Linked DNA regions of Drosophila melanogaster. The protein of the gene in region 2 purifies or fractionates together with the protein of the main gene of each other region. This does not show direct contact. Each region holds a gene or a part of one and is shown on either strand. Other genes may lie near its edges.

What was found. The genes of interacting proteins can lie anywhere in the genome.
Region 1: the proteins of Uggt (region 2) and Naglu purify together in Drosophila melanogaster (affinity purification with mass spectrometry, with the first as the bait; one large-scale study listed by BioGRID). This does not show direct contact.
Region 3: the proteins of Uggt (region 2) and Pngl purify together in Drosophila melanogaster (affinity purification with mass spectrometry, with the first as the bait; one large-scale study listed by BioGRID). This does not show direct contact.

The regions. Positions count from the first base shown.
Region 1 is NT_033779.5:8,407,771-8,413,839, forward strand, and holds Naglu (N-acetyl-alpha-glucosaminidase), read right to left. Parts: upstream 4,099-6,069; 5' UTR 3,775-4,098; coding exon 3,517-3,774; intron 3,438-3,516; coding exon 1,359-3,437; 3' UTR 1,279-1,358; downstream 1-1,278. Other genes in the region: emb (embargoed), read left to right, coding at 5-154; CG13398 (uncharacterized protein), read right to left, coding at 5,781-6,069.
Region 2 is NT_037436.4:18,871,223-18,880,301, forward strand, and holds Uggt (UDP-glucose-glycoprotein glucosyltransferase), read left to right. Parts: upstream 1-1,524; 5' UTR 1,525-1,727; coding exon 1,728-1,956; intron 1,957-2,139; coding exon 2,140-6,557; 3' UTR 6,558-7,023; downstream 7,024-9,079. Other genes in the region: Rad9, read right to left, coding at 1-631, 740-891, 946-1,172, 1,229-1,262; CG3961 (uncharacterized protein), read right to left, coding at 7,865-8,002, 8,065-8,238, 8,289-8,517, 8,580-9,079. UniProt on the Drosophila melanogaster protein: Recognizes glycoproteins with minor folding defects. Reglucosylates single N-glycans near the misfolded part of the protein, thus providing quality control for protein folding in the endoplasmic reticulum.
Region 3 is NT_033778.4:6,015,798-6,021,973, forward strand, and holds Pngl (PNGase-like), read left to right. Parts: upstream 1-1,941; 5' UTR 1,942-2,035; coding exon 2,036-2,411; intron 2,412-2,466; coding exon 2,467-2,558; intron 2,559-2,620; coding exon 2,621-3,456; intron 3,457-3,511; coding exon 3,512-3,596; intron 3,597-3,655; coding exon 3,656-3,752; intron 3,753-3,808; coding exon 3,809-4,218; 3' UTR 4,219-4,898; downstream 4,899-6,176. Other genes in the region: Strica (Ser/Thr-rich caspase), read right to left, coding at 5,548-5,614, 5,674-6,085, 6,141-6,176. UniProt on the Drosophila melanogaster protein: Specifically deglycosylates the denatured form of N-linked glycoproteins in the cytoplasm and assists their proteasome-mediated degradation. Cleaves the beta-aspartyl-glucosamine (GlcNAc) of the glycan and the amide side chain of Asn, converting Asn to Asp.

The DNA of each region.
Region 1 (6,069 bases), on a different chromosome or scaffold from region 2:
GCAGGAGGCCACCGGCGAGGACGATTCCGATCTGTACTTGGAAGAGCGTGAAGCGGCTCTGGCCGAGGAGCAGTCAAATAAACATCAGATGCAGCGTAATATTCCAGGAATGTTGAATCCGCACGAGTTGCCCGAGGATATGCAGGACGAATAGATGTCGATGTCGATGTCGATGTCACTGAGCTAGAATGTTTTAGTTGATGCTTGAGAATGATAAAAGGATGGTGATGTATGAGTGTTTCTCGAGCGAGAAAGTATAAATGTTTGTTTGATTGAATGCATATAAGTACGTTATATATATAAATACATCCACACAAGACCCACAACACTTGCATACACACACATACACATACACCTATACAGATATAGCTGCGTTAAAAGGTGAATGAGTAAATGGTTATTCGTGCGCAATTACATACATTAATATGATTAACATATTTTTGCGCATTGTCCTCGACATACCAGCATAAATAAGATGCCCAGCCAGTTCCCAACTCCCGCTCCCCTATCCACATTATATAGTTGTAAAACGTCATAATAATACTACACGCAACCGATACGAAAGATGCAAACTTTATTGTACTAATATAAAATAATGTTTGTTTGGAATTTTTTAAATGAGTAATTGTAGAAAGATCCGAGTATGAATGAATATTTGAACAAACACAAACACACCTCTCAGAGAAACCCACACAAAAATGAGCAAAGGAAACAAGAATATTAAGATGAAGAAAACCTTAAAGTAAAAATTTAATTGTAGTGACTTAAACAGATCAGATGCTGGCAGGAGTAAACAAAATTGTATGCAATCTTTTTGCATAAATCTAGCATTAACCCGACGTTGAAGACGATGGACGCCGCAATAAGGAGACGATCAAGAAAGCACGGCATCATAACCAGAATAGAGTTCATGCAATGTGTGAAAAAAAAAGAAAACTAAAACGCAAATACCCAAAACACAAATACATCAAGAAAAACAAAAGTAACCATAGAAATGCGTATTAAATCGTTTAAATTTTTACATAATTAGTTTGTACATTAATTTAAATAAAAATCAATTAAAACTACATTGATGTATGATGCAAAGCCACATTTAAGTTTCAATTGTAACGATTTTGATAGTAATATAGTGTACGTATCTAATCTCGTGGAATTTCGCAATTGATTGAAACATTATTGGATTGATGCCAATCAATTTTGAAAGTTTGGTGGGATATCTGTATATCTGAAATGTTTTCGTTTAATCCTTGAGCAACTAGTGTCAAAAGATTTTTATTTCGAATATTTAAAGTCAATTTTAGAGAAAAGTTTATTAAACGTTTGTTGTGGCAGTTGTATTGAACTATAGGTAGATACAATTATTTAGGTCCCGCTTTTTGAGGCACTGATAATCTGTTGTTATGTAGAAAGAGCGTGTCCTTAGAGTAGCCCTTCCAGGTTTCGAAAATGTCCTGGGAAATAAGCCAGGTGTTGCCAACTGGCGTCACGGGATAAACGTCGTCTTTGTTGCTAAAAGGCAGCTCGATTTCGTGCGAGACTTTCAGCTTGAAAGCGGTACCATTAAAGGGTCGTCCAGCATGGAGAGCCACTGTCACATCTTCCAGGAAGAGTCTCCACCGAGGCCTATAGTAGTCGCTCACCAAGCCGGACCACTGTTTGCACGCATAGTCCAGGATCTGACCATCAGGACCCCAGGCGGTAATTTGGTTTCTCGCATTGAATTCGAAGTTTCTTTGTTGCCCAGTGTTCGGTGCCGCTTGCTTGGCCTGCTGCAGCCAGTTGCCGAGCAGAAAATTCCTGCTGCTCGCCAGGATCAGCTCCATGTCATCGAACAGTTTCAACAGCTTGACGCTAAGGAATTCGAAACGCGAAACCTGTCGCTTTCTATAGGCCGACCTTAGATTGATATACAACTGATCTGCGCTGATCTGCAGGAATTGCCTGGTTATGTCCACCAAATCGTGTTCGTATATCTCGTATCTGTTATCCTCTAGCGGTATGATGGCTCTGAAGGTCAGCAACAAGTGCCAGGCATCCAGCACTGCACTTGCATTGTACCAAGTGAAGGGTTCTTGGTTGAAGGAAGGCCTGCGCGTCACTACATACTGTCCCCGCATTTTCTGCAGACCACGGAAGGAATAGACGCTATTCTTTAGGAGCAGCCACGCCTGCTCCAAACGCTCATCCTTAACGCCATACCGGCTGTGTGAGAAATTCGTAAACCAGCTATCCAGATCTAGGGATGTATTACTCCAGCCGCGCTCCAAGGTGAACGAATACATCACATAGTTCTGGCCAATGCCCTCGGGTGTGATTCCCGTGCCCACCAAACTGCTGTTGGGCAAGCGACGCGCCTCTTCTATTCCGGAATTTATCAGCTTCGCTGATCCAAACATTCCAAGTGTGCCGCCGAAATTGTGAAGCATGCACCATATAAAGGGCTGCCCAAAGTAGGAGCGCGTTAGCTCGTATTGCGGAAACTGTTCGCTCTGCAGATCGAGCACCAAAATGCGACCACGTGGTGCGGCCGTGAGGAAAGCTTCAGCCATGTCCGTGGTCCAAAAGGGATTCTTCACGAACATCCAGCCCTGAAGCAACCAAATGGCCTGAGGATCAATGCCGCGCATAGATTCATAAATCGCCGCCGCCGTTGAACGCATGTATTCCGGCTTGGCTACCGGTGGCTCCAGTTCGTTGAAGGGATCGCAGAAGAAGATGTGATTCGAACCATATTTCGTAATGATATTATGCAAAAAACGCGAGGCTATCTCCTTGAAAAGATTCTCCGTGGGTTCCACAAATAAACCGCAGCAGTATCGATCGGGGAACTGGTTCCATCGCTGCACTTCCATGAACGTCGATTCGGGATTCAGACGCTTCAGAGCACGTGGCACATGACCAGCAAAGGCGGGCAAGGCCACGCTCATGCCCAGATTGCGTTGGGCAGTGATAATCTCCTGCTGGAGGAGTAATTGATAGCGTCGCCATGCCGGTGTCAGTGGTCCCGCCCATCCCCGTATGTTGCCCATGCGCTGCCAGGCCTGAAAAGCTGGTCCAGCCAGATGCTCGTCGATTTCCTCCATCCTGAGGCCCATATCCGTGTACACCTTCACCCAAATGGCTTCCTGGACCGGCGCAATAGTCAGACTGATGCCCATCAGGGCCATCCAGTCCAGGTGACGGCGCCACTGCTCAATGCCCCACCATGCAAAGCTATAGCTCCAAGTGCACACGTTCTGGTGATAGATAATCGGGCTTGCTGACTTGGACTCGATGGTCACATTGGGCAGCTGCAAATTGGTGGGCAACTCAATGCGCATCTTGAACCAATCCACGTCCTTGTTTAAAACATATTTGAGGTAGTGATGGAGGGCCTTGCACACGGAAACACCATCCCATCCCATCAGCAGAATCCGGCCATCATCCAACATGCTAATCTGTAAGGTATTTAAAGATTGAAACATTTGTATTGTTTATTTACTTAAAAGTAAATACTTAATAAATAAATATTATTACCTGAAAGCTTCGTAAATCCATATTTTTATTGACTTGCACCTTAAACAATTGAGAAGATCGTTCGCCGATTACTCTACTGATTACCGCCATGGCTGCGGTTTCCTGGACATCTTTGGGTGTGCTGGGTGCCAAGTGGGCAGCCATTTGGAGTCCCATTTCAGGACCTGAAGCCGCATCCCAGTTAAGTTCTGATCCCTGCGCGAGTTGCAGGCAAAGCACCGCTAGCAAGGCCAAGGCCAGCTTCCAATTCAGCTGCATTTCTCCGTCCGTCTATTTACTGCCGTGTGTGTCAATGTCAACGGGGCCCAAGTGACTGACTGACTGACAGCTTCTCCTTCTCTCGCAATTGGGGCTCTCCCGAAGAATGCGGGAACGGAGGAAAGAGCGCTAAGTGAACCCGATGAGAACACAATGGAAGAGAAGAGCAGCTGGATTCCGATCACTTTCTTCTTATCGCCAGATTGAACAATGACGCAGTAGAGTTCTGAAATGCGAGGGATCATCGGATACACTCACTAAGAGTATATTACAACTTTGATAAGAAGTTTGTAGATCAATTTTTCCCTTATTGAGTTTTAAAAATAATATTAAGTTCTGATTTAAAATTAATTGGTAAGCAATGAAAAGGTAAAAAATATATTATCAACTAAAATAATTGTTTGATATTTATGCAACAAAAAACAAAGAACGTCAGATTTTGGAAACTATACAATTTAGAATGGTATTTAAATGTTGGTCTTCGTCGATATCCTTATATTGTAATCCGTGTTATAATGCATTTGTTAAGAAATTAACTGAAAATCGCAAGGCAAATCCATATATCTCGGAAAATATCAAAAAATATATAGTATATATACAGGGTCATTTGAGCTTTATTGCACGTATTTCGTCTTAGACACTAACAATAATTTAGTTTATGCCGCCGACTAAGCAGCGATTTTAAGTACATGTAAACGAAAGAACATTCATTTCTTCTCGTTCGTGTGAAACGATGAATGCTCAGTGTATATAACTCCTAACAAATTGAATAACAATTCAGCGATATATATATGTAAAAAATTATAAACTCACAGCGGACAATGCAACGCGATGCTTTCTACCATTGTTTTTTTTTTTTTTTTTTTGTTTGGCAACAGAATACAATTTCAAAGCCTTGGCCAACAACAAACGTACGTGTACGTCGATGATGTATCTTCTGGTGCTTATGAGCTACTCTTACCATATCTACCATGTACAATTTTAATGTTAAAAGCCTTTCGTGTTGCTCACTATTTTATATGCACAAAATCAAAAATGACTAGCTCTAAACAGCCGCTGGCAATTACACAAATCAACTAATCGCTAAGTAATGCTATTGTTAATATCCTTAAATACAAGTTATGTACGTATGCAATTCATGTCTATGTGTTTTGGTTTTTTGGCTGTGTGAGTTTACTGTACTGACTACAAAAAACAACCTGGTTATAATATTGTTAATCGTTTGCGTTTTAGCTTGGCGCAGTTGGAAGCAAACATATCTTTGGACAAATCACTCTTCAAATTTCACTTTACCACAATCTCGTGCAGTAAATTCGTTGTGCAACACGTTCTTTTCAACCTCCATAGCTTTTTACTCCCCAATCCGAGAGAGATCCATTTCAATTTTATCATATTCCCTTGAAAATCCATTGAAAATAGTAGGAAAGTTACTTAGCTCCTTCTTAAGTATGCTTTTCAAAATCAAAAGTAACAGCATCACGAAAATTTGTGGGCAAAAAAGTTAAAACGTCATTTGGAAACATTAAAATATTGTATGCTGTATCAATAAAATCCTGTTTGATCCCATGTGTGGTTAATTTTAGTAGTTAATCTCGATATTTTTTAACAAGCTATCCATTTGATCTGCTCAACTTTTAAGTTGCACAGCATGTGTTTTTATACGCTTTCATCTTCATAGTTGGTCAGTTGGTCACTTTAGTTGGTTTACTTTAAATCGAGCATTTAACAATTAGGACCTAACAAATCTTGTGGCCACTGTTCTTTTACTTTTGTACTCTTTCCGATCTGGCTGTTTTTCCTTTCTTCGTGATCTGTTGTCCTCTTTACTTCCCGGCATTATGATTTTTCTTTCAAAAGCTCCTTACATCTTTTTGGTACTCAGATTTGGCACAAATAAATGTGGGGTTAGATCCATTTCGCCAGCGATCTGGTGTCCATTATGCTTTCTGTAAATTCGTTGTGCACTCGCGGTCTCCTCCACCAATCCTATTCCTGCTGCCTCCAATTCACTCACTTATGGAGTAAGCCTTTCGTATGCACTTGCTGTGCCTGGTGATTCTCAGCTCCTCGGCATCGTGCGACGAATGCTGTCGATGCGTCACTGTTTCTGGCAGTTCAGTCGAAGACTTGTTCAACGCGTATGTGCGGATGAAGTCGATGGTTGAATAGCCTTGTGTCCCGGAGCATTCTGTTACCTTCTTCGCCTGCGTATCTCCCGTATCAGCAGAGATGCTATTCAGGCTTTGGGTCTGCATGGGCGGTGGGGGAACGTCCAACGTAGTACCTGCCTCTGGA
Region 2 (9,079 bases):
GGCTAGGATGCGAGGGTGCTGAACAGATGGCGCCTCCGAGTCCCGGAACTGAAACAGTGGATTATCTAGGCTCGATTCTAATTGGGTCTCCTCAACTCGCCGTTTTGGCTGCACTGCAGCCGGTTCCGAAGAGCTGCCTTTGCGTTTGTTGGTCACATTCGGCTTCGAAACGCTGCTCTTTCGCTTTGCGGCCGCCGCTCGTACATCCTCATCCTGCACTGTCAGATCCTTTTGACAATAATCTTCCGAGAAGCTTATATCATCGGGGGATAGCGTGGACATGATCAGCAAGCATTCAATCTCGCCATGCTTCTTAATTTTGAGCAGGAAAGGCATGCCCGCTTCGTCGAACTCCAGGGTCAGCGAAGCATTTAAGCACTCGGCGAAGAGGAGAAATGCTCGGAATTCCTTAATGCAGAATGTAATGACCGTCTCCTTCGTTACCTGGTACTGCTCAAATTCACTGGGCTTAAGTTTCAGCTGCGTGCGCATGAACTTATCATTAACTCGGGCTCCTTCTATGTAGTTTTTGGCCACCACACTGCCCGAGTTTGCCTCCAAAGTAAGTTCCTCCTCTGAGGAGTTAAAGTTATTGGATATATCCGTCAACAGCTTGTGATCGCCACGGATTCTGAAATGTTGAGTAGTAAATTCGGATTTATATGGGCATAGTTGTTTTAAGAGAAATAAGGTAAGGAGATAAACTTAATAGTTATCCTTAACACAAACCAAAACTCACATATTCGGCATCTGATCGGTGTTAATGTTTGTGTTAATGTTTTGGTCGTCTATGATGGAAATGGTGGCCTCCTTTGTGGTCTCCAGCTTACAGCGGAGATTCACCTGCAGGTTGGTCTGGTTGTCCAGCAAGTTGAGTTCACAGTACTCCACCTGGAACATAATATTCTTAACAACTAATCCCAGTGAGCAGACTTTCGAACTTACCTCATTCATGTTGCGGAACACGGCCAAACATCCCTTCATGGAGATCTTGCAGTAGAAATCTGAGTGCGGCGGCATGTCATACACTTCGAACATGGATCTTTTGAACGATATGCTGCCCACTGCGGATTGGGTGGCATTTATGGCCCGCATCTGCAAGGATTGCTGGTCGATCTCGATGAACATCTCCTTGCCCACCTTGGACAGCGATTGTACGGCTTTGGCGATGACTTAAAAAATGAATTCTTTTAGTTATCAATATATTTTGCTGTTTATTATGTGGTACCTCTTGCATTGCTGCCCTCTAAAGTGTATTTCATTGGCAATATTTGCACTATGTTTTTGGTCGCGAAATTCGCGCTGAAATTTGTAAACAAACAAATTAGAGTGATAGTAGTCGCACAACAGGTATGAAAAATACCAACAAAGGAATTTAGTTACCCATTTATGCATTTTGAAGTAAGTATGTACTATTTTTATATTTCAATAATTTCTTTTATAATTTAAAGCAAAATATTTCCATATTGACAATTGTCCGTAAAATAAATAAATTTAAATAAGTTCTTCAACCCGATGTAGTTCCAATGTAGTCTGGTCACACTGCGGCATGCCGGTTCATCAACGAACGCCACATCAGTTCTAAATCAAATTAAGAAAAACTGGGCTAAAACCAGCCGAAAACTGGTGAAAAGTAAAATATTTGGAGAAGGAAAGCCTTAAGTTCCTCTCTACGCTTAGTATACGTAATGTGCGTGGTTTAATCTACGTTAAAACAAGTGGAAACCATGTTACGTGCCGTGGCTTTGTGTGTGTCTGTGGTGCTCATAGCACTATATACGCCAACTTCTGGGGAATCCAGTCAGAGCTATCCCATCACCACGCTAATCAACGCGAAATGGACGCAGACGCCCCTATATCTGGAAATCGCCGAGTATCTGGCCGATGAGCAGGCGGGCCTCTTCTGGGATTACGTTTCGGGGGTGACCAAGTTGGACACGGTTCTCAACGAATATGGTTTGTGTTTATAAGTCATGGAGAACCCGCATTAAAGAGCTTTTATATTCTCCTCAATGTGAATCGAATCCATATAAAATCAAGTAATGGTTCGGAATATAAAATCACCTATTCCCAAAGCCCTATAATGTGATCTTTTCCCAAAGGGTAATTTATTTTTCTGATTACGTTTTCGCTTTTCAGATACCGAGTCGCAACAGTACAATGCCGCCTTGGAGCTGGTCAAGAGCCATGTGAGTTCTCCCCAATTGCCCCTGCTTAGGCTGGTGGTATCCATGCATAGCTTGACGCCCCGGATCCAGACCCACTTCCAGTTGGCCGAGGAACTGAGGAGCAGTGGCTCTTGTCAGAGCTTTACTTTTGCCCAGGTGGGTTCCGAACTGGCCTGCAGCTTTAACGAGCTGCAGAAGAAGCTGGAAGTGCCGCTCGCCAAGGATAGCTTGGATGCTTCTGTTGTCACCTACAGCTTTGATCACATTTTCCCTGGCAGTGAGAACAATACCCGCACTGTGGTACTATACGGCGATTTGGGAAGCTCTCAATTCCGCACCTATCACAAACTATTGGAAAAGGAAGCCAATGCTGGCCGGATTCGTTACATCTTGCGTCATCAATTGGCCAAGAAGGACAAGCGACCGGTACGACTTTCGGGCTATGGAGTGGAACTCCATCTGAAGTCAACGGAATACAAGAGTCAGGATGATGCTCCAAAGCCCGAAGCTGGTTCCACTTCTGATGAGGATTTGGCTAATGAATCGGACGTCCAGGGCTTTGATTTCAAGGTGCTGAAGCAGAAGCATCCTACACTTAAGAGAGCGCTGGATCAACTGCGTCAGAGGCTTCTTCAGGGAAACGATGAGATCGCCCAATTGAAAGCATGGGAGTTCCAGGATTTGGGTCTCCAGGCGGCCGCTGCTATTGCAGAAATACAGGGTGATGAAACCCTACAAATTCTTCAATATACTGCCCATAATTTCCCCATGTTGGCCAGAACCCTGCTGGCCCACAAGGTTACGGATGGCTTAAGGGCGGAGGTAAAGCATAATACGGAAGCATTTGGAAGAAGCTTGAATGTAGCGCCTCCAGATGGTGCCCTTTTCATCAATGGACTCTTCTTCGATGCTGACACAATGGATCTGTATTCCCTGATTGAGACGCTGCGCTCGGAGATGCGTGTTCTCGAGAGTCTGCACAGTAATAATGTGAGGGGAAGCCTTGCCAGCTCCTTGCTCGCCTTGGATCTGACGGCCTCCAGCAAAAAAGAATTCGCCATCGACATCCGTGACACTGCAGTACAGTGGGTCAACGATATTGAAAACGATGTGCAGTACCGCAGGTGGCCCTCATCGGTGATGGATCTTTTGCGTCCAACCTTTCCTGGCATGTTAAGGAATATCCGAAAGAATGTGTTCAATTTGGTCCTAGTGGTAGACGCGCTGCAGCCCACAGCTAGAAGTGTTATTAAACTGTCAGAGTCGTTTGTCATCCATCAAGCTCCCATTCGCTTGGGTTTGGTTTTCGATGCGAGGGACGCCAACGAGGATAATCTTGCAGATTACGTAGCCATCACGTGCGCCTATAACTATGTGAGTCAGAAAAAGGATGCCCGAGCTGCTTTAAGTTTCCTCACCGACATCTACGCAGCAGTTGGTGAGACCAAAGTGGTCACGAAAAAAGACATAGTCAAGCAACTAACGAAGGAATTTACATCATTAAGCTTTGCCAAAGCGGAGGAGTTCCTGGAGGAAGATTCCACGTACGACTATGGCAGGGAGCTCGCAGCAGAGTTCATTCAGCGGCTGGGATTCGGAGACAAGGGACAACCTCAGGCCTTGTTGAATGGTGTTCCAATGCCCAGCAACGTTGTGACCGCCGATAGCGACTTCGAGGAGGCTATTTTCACCGAGATTATGACCCACACCAGCAATCTCCAAAAGGCTGTGTACAAAGGTGAACTGACAGACAACGATGTAGCCATTGATTATCTGATGAATCAACCTCACGTGATGCCCAGATTGAATCAGCGAATCCTAAGCCAGGAGGATGTGAAATATCTTGATATTAACGGCGTGGCCTACAAAAATCTTGGCAATGTTGGAGTTTTAAATCGTCTGTCTAACCGGGATATGACCGCTACGCTAATGGATAATCTTAAATACTTTGGTGGCAAGAAGTCTACGGAGCTTATTGGCCGAGCATCCCTACAGTTCCTAACGATTTGGGTGTTTGCTGATTTGGAAACTGACCAGGGTCGAGATCTGCTCACCCATGCCCTGGACTATGTCCAAAGTGGAGAGAGTGTGCGAGTCGCATTCATTCCAAACACTGAAAGCTCTTCCGCCTCAAGCCGGAGGAATCTTAATCGATTGGTTTGGGCTGCCATGCAGAGTCTTCCACCAACTCAAGCCACGGAGCAGGTTCTCAAGTGGCTAAAGAAACCAAAGGAGAAAATTGAGATACCCACTCAGCTCGAGGATATCCTGGGATCTACAGAGCTGCACCTGAAGATGTTGAGAGTTTATTCCCAGCGAGTGTTGGGTCTAAATAAATCCCAGCGTTTGGTCATCGGTAATGGGCGGCTTTATGGGCCCCTTTCGTCGGATGAAAGCTTTGATAGCGCCGATTTCGCTTTGCTAGCCAGGTTCAGTTCTCTACAGTATAGCGATAAGGTGCGTCAGGTCCTGAAGGAATCTGCTCAAGATGTCAATGAGGAATTCAACAGCGATACATTGCTTAAGTTGTATGCCAGCCTGCTTCCCAGGCAAACCAAAACTCGCTTTAAGCTACCAACGGACTTAAAAACCGATCACTCGGTTGTAAAACTACCGCCCAAACAGGAGAATCTTCCCCATTTTGATGTTGCCGCCGTTTTGGATCCCGCCTCCCGAGCAGCTCAAAAACTAACGCCAATACTTATTTTGCTTCGTCAAGTGCTGAACTGCCAATTGAACTTATACCTGATTCCCGTCCCCCAGCACAGCGATATGCCCGTGAAGAACTTCTACAGATACGTTGTGGAACCGGAGGTCCAATTCGAGGCGAATGGAGGCCGATCTGATGGTCCTTTGGCCAAATTCAGTGGATTGCCAGCCAATCCTCTGCTGACCCAGCAGCTGCAGGTTCCCGAGAACTGGTTGGTCGAAGCTGTGAGAGCAGTTTACGATCTGGACAACATTAAGTTGACCGATATTGGTGGACCTGTGCACAGCGAATTCGATCTGGAGTATCTGCTGTTGGAGGGTCACTGCTTTGATGCTGCTAGCGGCGCTCCGCCCAGAGGACTTCAGTTGGTGTTGGGTACCCAGAGTCAACCTACCTTGGTAGATACTATTGTGATGGCGAATTTGGGTTATTTCCAACTTAAAGCCAATCCAGGAGCTTGGTCCCTACGCTTGCGTGAAGGCAAATCGGCGGATATTTATGCAATCAGCCACATTGAAGGAACAAATACCCATCATTCGGCTGGCTCTTCTGAAGTTCAGGTTCTTATAACCTCCTTGCGATCCCATGTTGTCAAATTAAGGGTGTCTAAGAAGCCAGGCATGCAGCAGGCGGAACTCCTGTCAGATGACAACGAACAGGCAGCGCAATCAGGCATGTGGAACAGCATCGCCAGCAGTTTTGGCGGCGGCAGTGCCAACCAAGCAGCCACTGATGAGGATACGGAAACCATCAACATTTTCTCTGTGGCATCGGGACACTTGTACGAACGTCTTCTAAGGATCATGATGGTTTCGCTGCTAAAGCACACAAAATCACCTGTGAAGTTCTGGTTCTTGAAGAACTATCTTTCGCCGCAATTTACGGATTTCCTTCCTCACATGGCCAGTGAGTACAACTTCCAGTACGAATTGGTCCAGTACAAATGGCCCCGCTGGCTGCATCAGCAAACGGAAAAACAGAGGACCATTTGGGGCTACAAGATCCTTTTCCTGGACGTGCTCTTCCCGCTGAATGTGAGGAAAATCATTTTCGTGGATGCCGATGCCATCGTAAGAACGGATATAAAGGAGTTGTATGACATGGACCTCGGAGGAGCACCCTATGCCTACACGCCATTCTGCGATTCCCGCAAAGAGATGGAGGGCTTCCGATTCTGGAAGCAGGGATACTGGCGAAGCCATCTGATGGGCAGGCGTTACCACATTTCCGCCTTGTACGTGGTGGACTTGAAGAGATTCCGCAAGATTGCGGCAGGAGATAGGCTAAGAGGCCAATACCAGGCACTTAGCCAGGATCCGAACAGCTTATCCAATTTGGATCAGGACTTGCCCAACAACATGATCCACCAGGTCGCCATCAAATCCCTGCCCGACGACTGGCTATGGTGCCAAACGTGGTGCAGCGACAGCAACTTCAAGACTGCTAAAGTGATTGATTTGTGCAACAACCCGCAGACCAAGGAGGCCAAACTCACGGCCGCCCAGAGGATTGTGCCCGAATGGAAGGACTACGATGCCGAGCTGAAGACCCTGATGTCTCGCATCGAGGATCATGAGAATTCGCATAGCAGGGACTCGGCAGTTGATGATTCGGTTGACGATTCGGTGGAGGTCACCACTGTGACGCCTTCTCATGAGCCCAAGCACGGCGAGCTGTGATGAACGCGTAGTTAAATCAACATGTTTAGTGAATTTAAATATCGATGGATAAACACTTGATTACTTAGCTAAGAGCCATCTCCGAAATAACGACTAAACACATTTGTACATTTTAATTAGAACATAATGCGATTGATAACGTAAACCCAACTCAAAAAGAAAACAGCTCACTAAAGTCTGAATTGTGTTTTGTAACTCGATTTCGAACGATTTTCTTGTCTTGCATTCCAAGAGCTACTAATTAAGTTAAGCCGAAATTAAATGTCATCATACTAAATACGCGCCTTTAAGTTGAAGATTGTCAAATGTATTAAAAGTTGGAGTAAATAGTAATTAATTCAGCGTATTTTATTAACCATTTATTTGGGATGGTCAGGCCACTTTACCCCCTCGAAAAGCTTTGGTGACTGCGTATGTGCGTTAGGTGGCAACGCCAAATTCAAATAAAGTTTTCAAAAATCTCAGTATTTCAATTTGTATTTTTGTTGGTTTTATTTCATATTATTTTGAGTTAACTTGCTTTCGTATCTACATAAAGAATCTATTTAATAAATTTAATACAATGCTGCTTTACTTTATTGTTTAGCTCTTAATATGAAATAGTTCATTATTTTAGCAATTTATTAATAAATTTTCATTTGGTATTTAGTAAGGCAGACAGTGCAGTCCAAAGACGTTGATCTTTTCCATATTTATTATTAGGTTTGATCTGCTTCTCGATTGGCGTTCATTTGTAAGTTAAAAGTAATTCCTCAGCATTTGCGATGAACATTTCATTCCCATTAATTTAGTTTTAGCGTATCTAATATATAGTTAAAAATTTGATTCTTCACTTTAGTTTCCATCTAGCGCTGAGTGTAGTATACAATAGTTAATTAAAGCTTTCTTTTTATTCAATTTGCTCAATATGTTATTATATATGTTTTGGTTCAGACTACGCAATTGTTTTCTATCCACTTTTGAACTAGCTCATAAGTGTTTAAAGGGAAATATATAGTTAATATATTAATTAAGGTTCGCTTCTCGGTTAAATTATATAAAAAAATGCGGCTGCCAAAAGGATTCTCCTTGTCAGTTTGAAGTTGTGTATATTTTATGTGTATTGTATCTGTATCTGGTGTATCTTGCGCTCCTCTTACGTGCTAAGAATTGACGATACTACAAAATTAGACAGTTCGCTTTCGTATCTGTATCTGTAGTCTTTGTTATCATCAGTTTAAAATGGTATAGGCATATTTGAATGAATGCTTCCCAGTTTCTTGAGTTCGATTCGTTGTTGATGTCTATGTATGCATATAGGCATTGCTTTAATCCAGGTGTTTATACATATCCTCCAGCTGGGGCTTAAAATAGCTCTTAAGCTGCGGTCTCTTGGCTTTGAATGTGGGCGTCAGCAGTCCGTTTTGCACCGAGAAGGGATCCGGATGCAGATAGATATCTTTAACCTAAAATTAAATATCCCGGATATTATCTCGAAACCTATAGGTATGCTGATTCAAAAGCTCACCTGTTCGAATGACTTGAGTCCACTCTGCTTGCCCCAGTTGAGCATGTCGTTCATGATCAGTTCCTTGACATTCTTATTATTGCACAGGACGGAGAGTGTGCCGCGTACATTGTTCTCCGTGGCCCATTGCTTCAGTACATCGGTATCAGGTACAACAACAGCGATAATGCAGCTCTGAAAGAATTTGGTAAATATGTACATATATAATACAATTTCGGTCTTACCTTTAAGCTCTCTCCATAGACATAAACTTGATTTACGTATTGACTGAGCGTGTAGATATTCTCGATCTTCTCGGGCACTATGTACTCGCCCTGGCTAAGCTTGAAGATGTGCTTGCGGCGATCGATGATCCGTAGTGTTCCATTTGGCAGCCACATGCCCACATCGCCCGTATGATGCCAGCCCTCCGAATCGATGGCCTCCGCCGTCTTTTCGGGATCCTTATAGTAACTATTCACACAACAATTCAATGGATTAAACAAAAGTGGAATATTCATATTAGCTTTACCTACCCATGGAACACATTCGATCCGCGCACACACACCTCGCCAGTATTTTGATTGGCAAAGTACTCCATCTCCGGCACATCCACCAGTTTCACAGCATTGCAGGACACGGGTGGTCCCACATGGTTGGGCACATGATCTCCCTGAACGGTAAGGGTAATGGCCCCCGTGCACTCCGTTTGGCCATATCCCTCGAGAACCAGGCAGCCCAGAGCACAGCGCATGAAGGTCAGGACATTTCCGGCCAATGGGGCGGAGCCCACGACCATTAAACGAAGATTTCCGCCAAAGGCCTGATGCACCTTCTTGAAGACCAACTTGTCCCAGCAGCCGTTCCTCCGCAGGACACCCCTGGCGATCTCCTTCTCCTTCGCTCGCATAGCCATATTGAAGAGACCCCTCTTCAGTCCAGACGCTGAGATATCATTCTGAATCTTGTCGTAGACGCGGTTCAAAAGACGAGGCACTGCCGGCATTACGGTTGGTTTCAGCATCTTGAGGTCATT
Region 3 (6,176 bases), on a different chromosome or scaffold from region 2:
AGCGGACTTTTTTTAAAATTTTTTATTCATTGGTATACTGACGTGTTATCAACAAATTAGAAATGATCTAAGAATCCTTGAAAATGCATTTAAAAATTATGCAGTGTTCTCAAAATTCGACCAAAAGGGTTTTGAAAATACCGCCAAATGCTGTACCTGCACCACAGGGAAATCCATGTTATGAACCGATGTATAGCACTATCATTTCGACGCTAACTTTCAGAATGTATTACACCGTTTACAGAGCGTTTTGCCAAGTGGCCCGGTATCTCAACCTTTTGTTTTTAATTTCATTAACTAGCTGTGAAAGCTTTTGCATTAAGCTATGTAGAGTTTTCCAGGAAGTTGCAATTTCAGAACATATTTCAAAAAGTGTTGTGTGACATGAAATCAGCCTTAAATAACTTTTATATTAAAAGGACATGAATTTAGTTGGATTTTAACAAATATATATATATAAAATACTTAGGTTATTTTTATAATTTGCGTATGTACCTTGCGTACGTATGTGCCTTGCAGCTGAGAATATTTTCTAATGTTGGACAGAAACAGATACAAACAACATTCCCAATAGGGAATTCGCTCTTGATCAACATCTCTAGCCGAGGCGACCTGGCGATGTACTAATGTTAGCATAGACATCAAAGTCTCTGGAACTATATTGGTAGGATGTTAAAACTAATCATGCAAATTCTAGTGACGCCTACTTCGGGCAAGTTTGTTTTATTGTATAACTACGCCACTTTCACTCTAACGTCCACAAGCCACAAAAAACTGGCAAGCCCACAATTTTAAAATGAACTTGTTTTCGATTTCCAATATATGCAATGTATTCATCTAAATATTTTGCAGGAATATAATTTTTTTAATCTTTATTCCACATGTACGCTTCAGAATTGGTTGCTAAAACTGAATAAAGCGAATATCCAGTAATTGGATATCTAATATCCATTATACATTGTCTTTAGCATTCTCCTCTGAGAATAAGTTTTTTTTTCGCATGATTTCAATTGATATTTTTTACAATAACATAATTGTTTATCTCTAATTTAATGAAATAAGTTCGAACGTATCCATTACAGAATCCCTGAAATCTTTATAAGCCGAATATTATTCAGACTAAGAAGTAGCAAGCGTTATTCATAAAGATAACAAATAGCGTTAAAAAATATTGAAATATCTTGCCACATGAAAAACGATCTGTAAATGGTGTAACACATTTAGCAAGTTAACATTGGTATGTTGTTGTACATCGGTTCATGTCACTAATTTGCTTGGTGCGAGTGCTGGAGCTGGCAGTATTTTCAAGTCCCTTTGAGCTGTTCCTACTGTAAGGCGAATTTTCGGAGAGCTGTGCATAATTACTTTATCAATTTTCCAGGATCCTTGCTCTCATAAGCTTTCTCTTTGAGCAACAACAATGTAAACTTAATTTGAAACATGAACCGTCCATTTTAGAACACCCTTAGTCCTAAGTGGATTCCTAAAAATTTTTTTTTATTTTTCTATTACATTATGTATTTAATATATAATTTATATACTTCCAAGACCTAATAAATATTGGGAGTTCCAAATCAAAACATTCTTCGATCGCTACTAACTAAAAATGGTAATTGAATGCTTTGTGTATTTTTAATCCGTTTTTTTAAGCAAAAGATTATTGAGTAATTTTTATAATTTCAACACGTGATAACTTAATATTTCTAAGTAACTTATTTCCTATTTAAAGCAATTGTTGAAATTTAGAGATTTCTTACCTTTTTTAAAATGTCTATAAAAAGGAGATCCAAGCTCTATTTTTCGTGCATAAATTTGTTGTGCATCCCCACAGGAAAAGAACATGTACGCTAGTGGAATCCGGCTGGCTTCATTCAACAAAAAAAAACCTAAAAAACACCTCTTTTGTTATCGCTTGAAGTTCGCTAAACTAATCGCGTTTTCCAACACCATAACCCTTTGTGTCTGCATGATTGTCATCCGCCGGCCACCCCTACTAACGACGAAACCAATCTGATAGTGGCAGCTGGTCATCAACATGGTGGACATAAACTTGGAGTGCGTGCACCAGATCGAACCGAAGACCCGTTCTGCTGGTCAGCAGCAGCAGGAGCGAGGGTTAAAGGAAGCCTACCTGGAAGCGGTCCGCATTCTGTTAGTGCTGCTGGAGAACATCTTGGCGCAGCCGGAGAACTCCATGTTCCGCACCATACGGCAGGAAAACAAAGCTATTAAAGAAAAGCTGCTGTCCTTGCCCGGCTGTGAGAGGTTACTGGAAGCCATAGGCTTCGTACGCGCCCCCAGTTCCAACGCCTACACCTTGCCCACAGAGGTGTCACTGCAGCAGGTGAAGAAGTACAGAGATGCGCTGAGCGAGAGACGCACTGCCTGGCTTAACGGCACAGTGTCAAAAAGTAAGCTTTGGGGGCAAGACTGACATCCTAATCATCATGTCTCGGATTTTAATAGGTCCTCCTCAACAAAGCACCACCAGCACCACGCCCTTGTTCATCAAGCCTTCTGTGGAATATCGCCATAGAATCGCCTTCCCCCGTGTATTGGTAAGCCAGCCATCGAACAAGATAGACCTCTGCTGTATTCTGATGTGGAAGCTTGTTTTCAGCGCACCAATAATAACTTTCTGCAGTCGCTAGAGCTTTATTCCGATGCAGTCATGCAGTACGAGGATAACCTGCTGCTGGCTACTGGCCGCACTCTGATTCCTGTGGAAGAGCTCACCGAAATGGCAAGCGAGAAACTGATAGACATCCAAGATCAAATTGCGTCGGGTGAGCGCCAGGAGAAGGAGCCATGTGTTCGCGACTTGCTGCTTGTGGAGCTGGTAAACTGGTTCAACACGCAGTTCTTCCAGTGGGTAAACAATATACCTTGCCGCGTGTGTGGGAGTGAAGAGAGCAGGCTGCGCCGCACTGAACGGGAAGGTGATATAAGGGTGGAAGTCACCGTTTGCTGCGGCCAGGAGAGCAAGTTCTACCGCTATAACGACATTTCCCAGCTCCTAGTTTCCCGTAAGGGCCGTTGCGGAGAATATGCCAATTGCTTCACATTCCTCTGTCGCGCCCTCGACTACGACGCCCGTATTGTCCACTCGCATTTTGATCACGTCTGGACCGAGGTGTACTCCGAGGCCCAGATGCGTTGGCTCCATGTTGACCCCTCCGAGAACGTTATAGATTCTCCGCTGATGTATCAGCATGGCTGGAAACGTCACATCGACTACATTCTTGCATACTCTAGGGACGACATCCAAGATGTGACTTGGCGCTATACTAATGACCACCAGAAGATTCTACACCTACGAAAGCTGTGCGGGGAAAAAGAAATGGTGCAAACGCTGGACGCGATTCGAGCAAAGCGGCGGCAAAATTGCACCGCCGATCGAAAGTTATTCCTCAGCCAGCGCAATATGTACGAGGTCATCGGCTTGACGCTAGAGCGGTAAGCATTTACAGGAAACTGTTCGAAATTAAATTTAATCCCGTTTCCTGTTTAGTAAGCCGACAGAAAACGAGCTGAAGGGTCGGAGTTCGGGAAGTCTTTCTTGGCGGCAGTCACGTGGAGAGCATACTTTTACCAATGTAAGTGATCTGGCCTGAGACGCGCTGCCGGCCGTTTGTCACCTTTCATGTATTTACAGATATTCGTTTTCAATCTAAGTGCAACCGAACTACAAAAAAGGCAACTTAATGTGCGTTACAGCTGTGCCACCGATACATACGAACGATATGCCAAAGGCGAGTCATGAATTTATTTACAGCACTATGAATGCTTTTAACTTTTATATCCATAGAAGGAGAACACATCACTATTTTGGATAGCTATAAGACATGGCAAAAAGCGCAATTTTCCTCAAAGAACATATTTCGGAAAGTGGAACGCGATTGGAAAATGGCATATTTGGCTAGACTGGAGGATACCGATTGCGGAGAAATTGCCTGGACGTTTGATTTCAGCAAGACCAATTTAAAGGTTAAGTCTTACAACTTAGTTTTCGAGACAAAAACTTTTGGCGACGGAAAAATCAGCGTGACTGTCGATGCCACCGACGGAAGCGCTTCGGTTGAAAATGCCACTGGATTCAAAATAGTGGCCAAACTTACGGGTGGCAAGGGCGATGTAGCATGGCAACACACACAACTGTTCAGGCAGAGTCTTAATTCAAGAGACTATCCCTTCGATCTGCAAGTGCAACTACATTGAAGTCCTCAAAAAATATTTTGGAGAAATTAAAATGTAATTGTAAATAATATAAACGATTCCCAGTCTGGATGAAAATATAATAATCAAAAATGTATATTAAAAATTAAATAAAGGCACATAGTGTCGCTATATGTAATTATACTTGAAGTTTTAAGGACTAACTTTTATGAAATTTCTATATATATAGAACAAGCGCATGGAAACAGTTAATACAAAATATAAGGTTCTTAGATTTGGGTTGCAGTTAATTAAAATATGAATGACAAATTTAGAAACGACATTTAAACTTTATTTTCTTCTATATGTCAATATTTATTTCATCCGGAATCAAAGCAATAAATAATTTTATTGGTCACAATTGCTGGGACGATTTTTCAAGATTTACATATATAGATGAAAAAAGGCAAGACAATTAAAAAGACTAGATCGACTCGGCTAGTGATCCTGATAAAGAATTCATATACTTTGTATATTTTGCTTACAACTAACGGGTATACAAATAGATATCATATGTAGGTATTCAGCGATTTTCAGAGAACCGCGCAGTGATTTTGCCATTTTACATCACCAAAAAGTCATTCGATTATTGCCTGCCCTTTATGAATATCGGTATATTAAAATTTTTCGAAACATGTTTTTCGCTAATCATCTACAACAAAATGCGCATATATATATGAATCTTAAAATTTGGTTGAAACATCAAAACATTTTTGTGTAGAATATACATATATACAAAACTAATGTTACATATATTCTTTTAGCTGTATGGCATTTATCATTGGTACCATTACACTAAATTAGAGTTAGCAAACGGTCATACCTAATTTATTGGTAAGAATGGGTCATTATATTGGTATTGAGAAAAAATAACTGTTTTTATTTTATAATAACATTAAAACGTTAATTTTTAGTACAATAAAAGTTAAAAAATTTCAAGGGCACACGGTTTAACATTTTACATGCGATGACCGTTCTTAAAAAATCGACCAAAATAAAAAAAAGTTTTTCATATTTTCAGGTTCTGGTTACCGAAAATAGTTTTCCTTTAACAATTCCGACCCCAGACTAATTTTTTTTTAATATTTAGCCTCACACTTTTACCGCCTCTTTAGTTTGTGAGCTACCTCTCGATTGTTATATTAAGCTAAGATCGGACAACCATCGCAAATTTTCATTTCTTCGTATATATCACCTTCTTCTGGTACGCTTCGTCACTACGTGGACCAGACGCTATGTGCTATATACTATGTACATACATCTATCCATGTGCTATTTACATATATATTAATTTTGATATTTAATGGCGTGTCTTAGATTTAAGATCTATGGTCAAATATAATCTCCAAAAACGTACTTAGAGGTAAGAGTGCTAGTGACAGATGGAATTTGGCGGTCTCTAAAATAAAGTTTAATAATTATTTATGGGGTCATATATAAACACGTGGAGTTTCTTACTTGGATTGCATTTTAACCACTTGACGCACATTCATCATTATGGTGTCGATGTCTGAAGTCTTCCCCGATCGATTAAGAGCTTCACACAGTGTCTGAATAAAAGGAGTTCCGTCCTCCGTGCGAAAAGATACAAATCCCTCGTACGTGCTATAGCACTTGAGGATTTCATTTGGAGACCCATTGGGCTGCGCGGCATCGGTCATAAAGCCCCCTAGTTGGCAGTCGCCCTTGCAGGCCTGAACGAAAATCAGCTTGGGCTTGTCCTTAAGCGTCCTATTGCGCAAAATGGGAAAAACAACGTCGTCGTCCAGGGAGTAGTCGTCATCCTTTGCTGCGATCTGGTCGTGGCGCGTTCCATGACTGAGGATCACGAGGACCAGAGCGCTTTTGTCCTCAAAGTCCTTGGTTTGCACTGCAAAATTTAAAAATTAATTGATTAAGCCGAGAAACTACACTTCTCCTCTTACACATTCGCACTGTTTTTTTAATGGTGACCAGGGTTG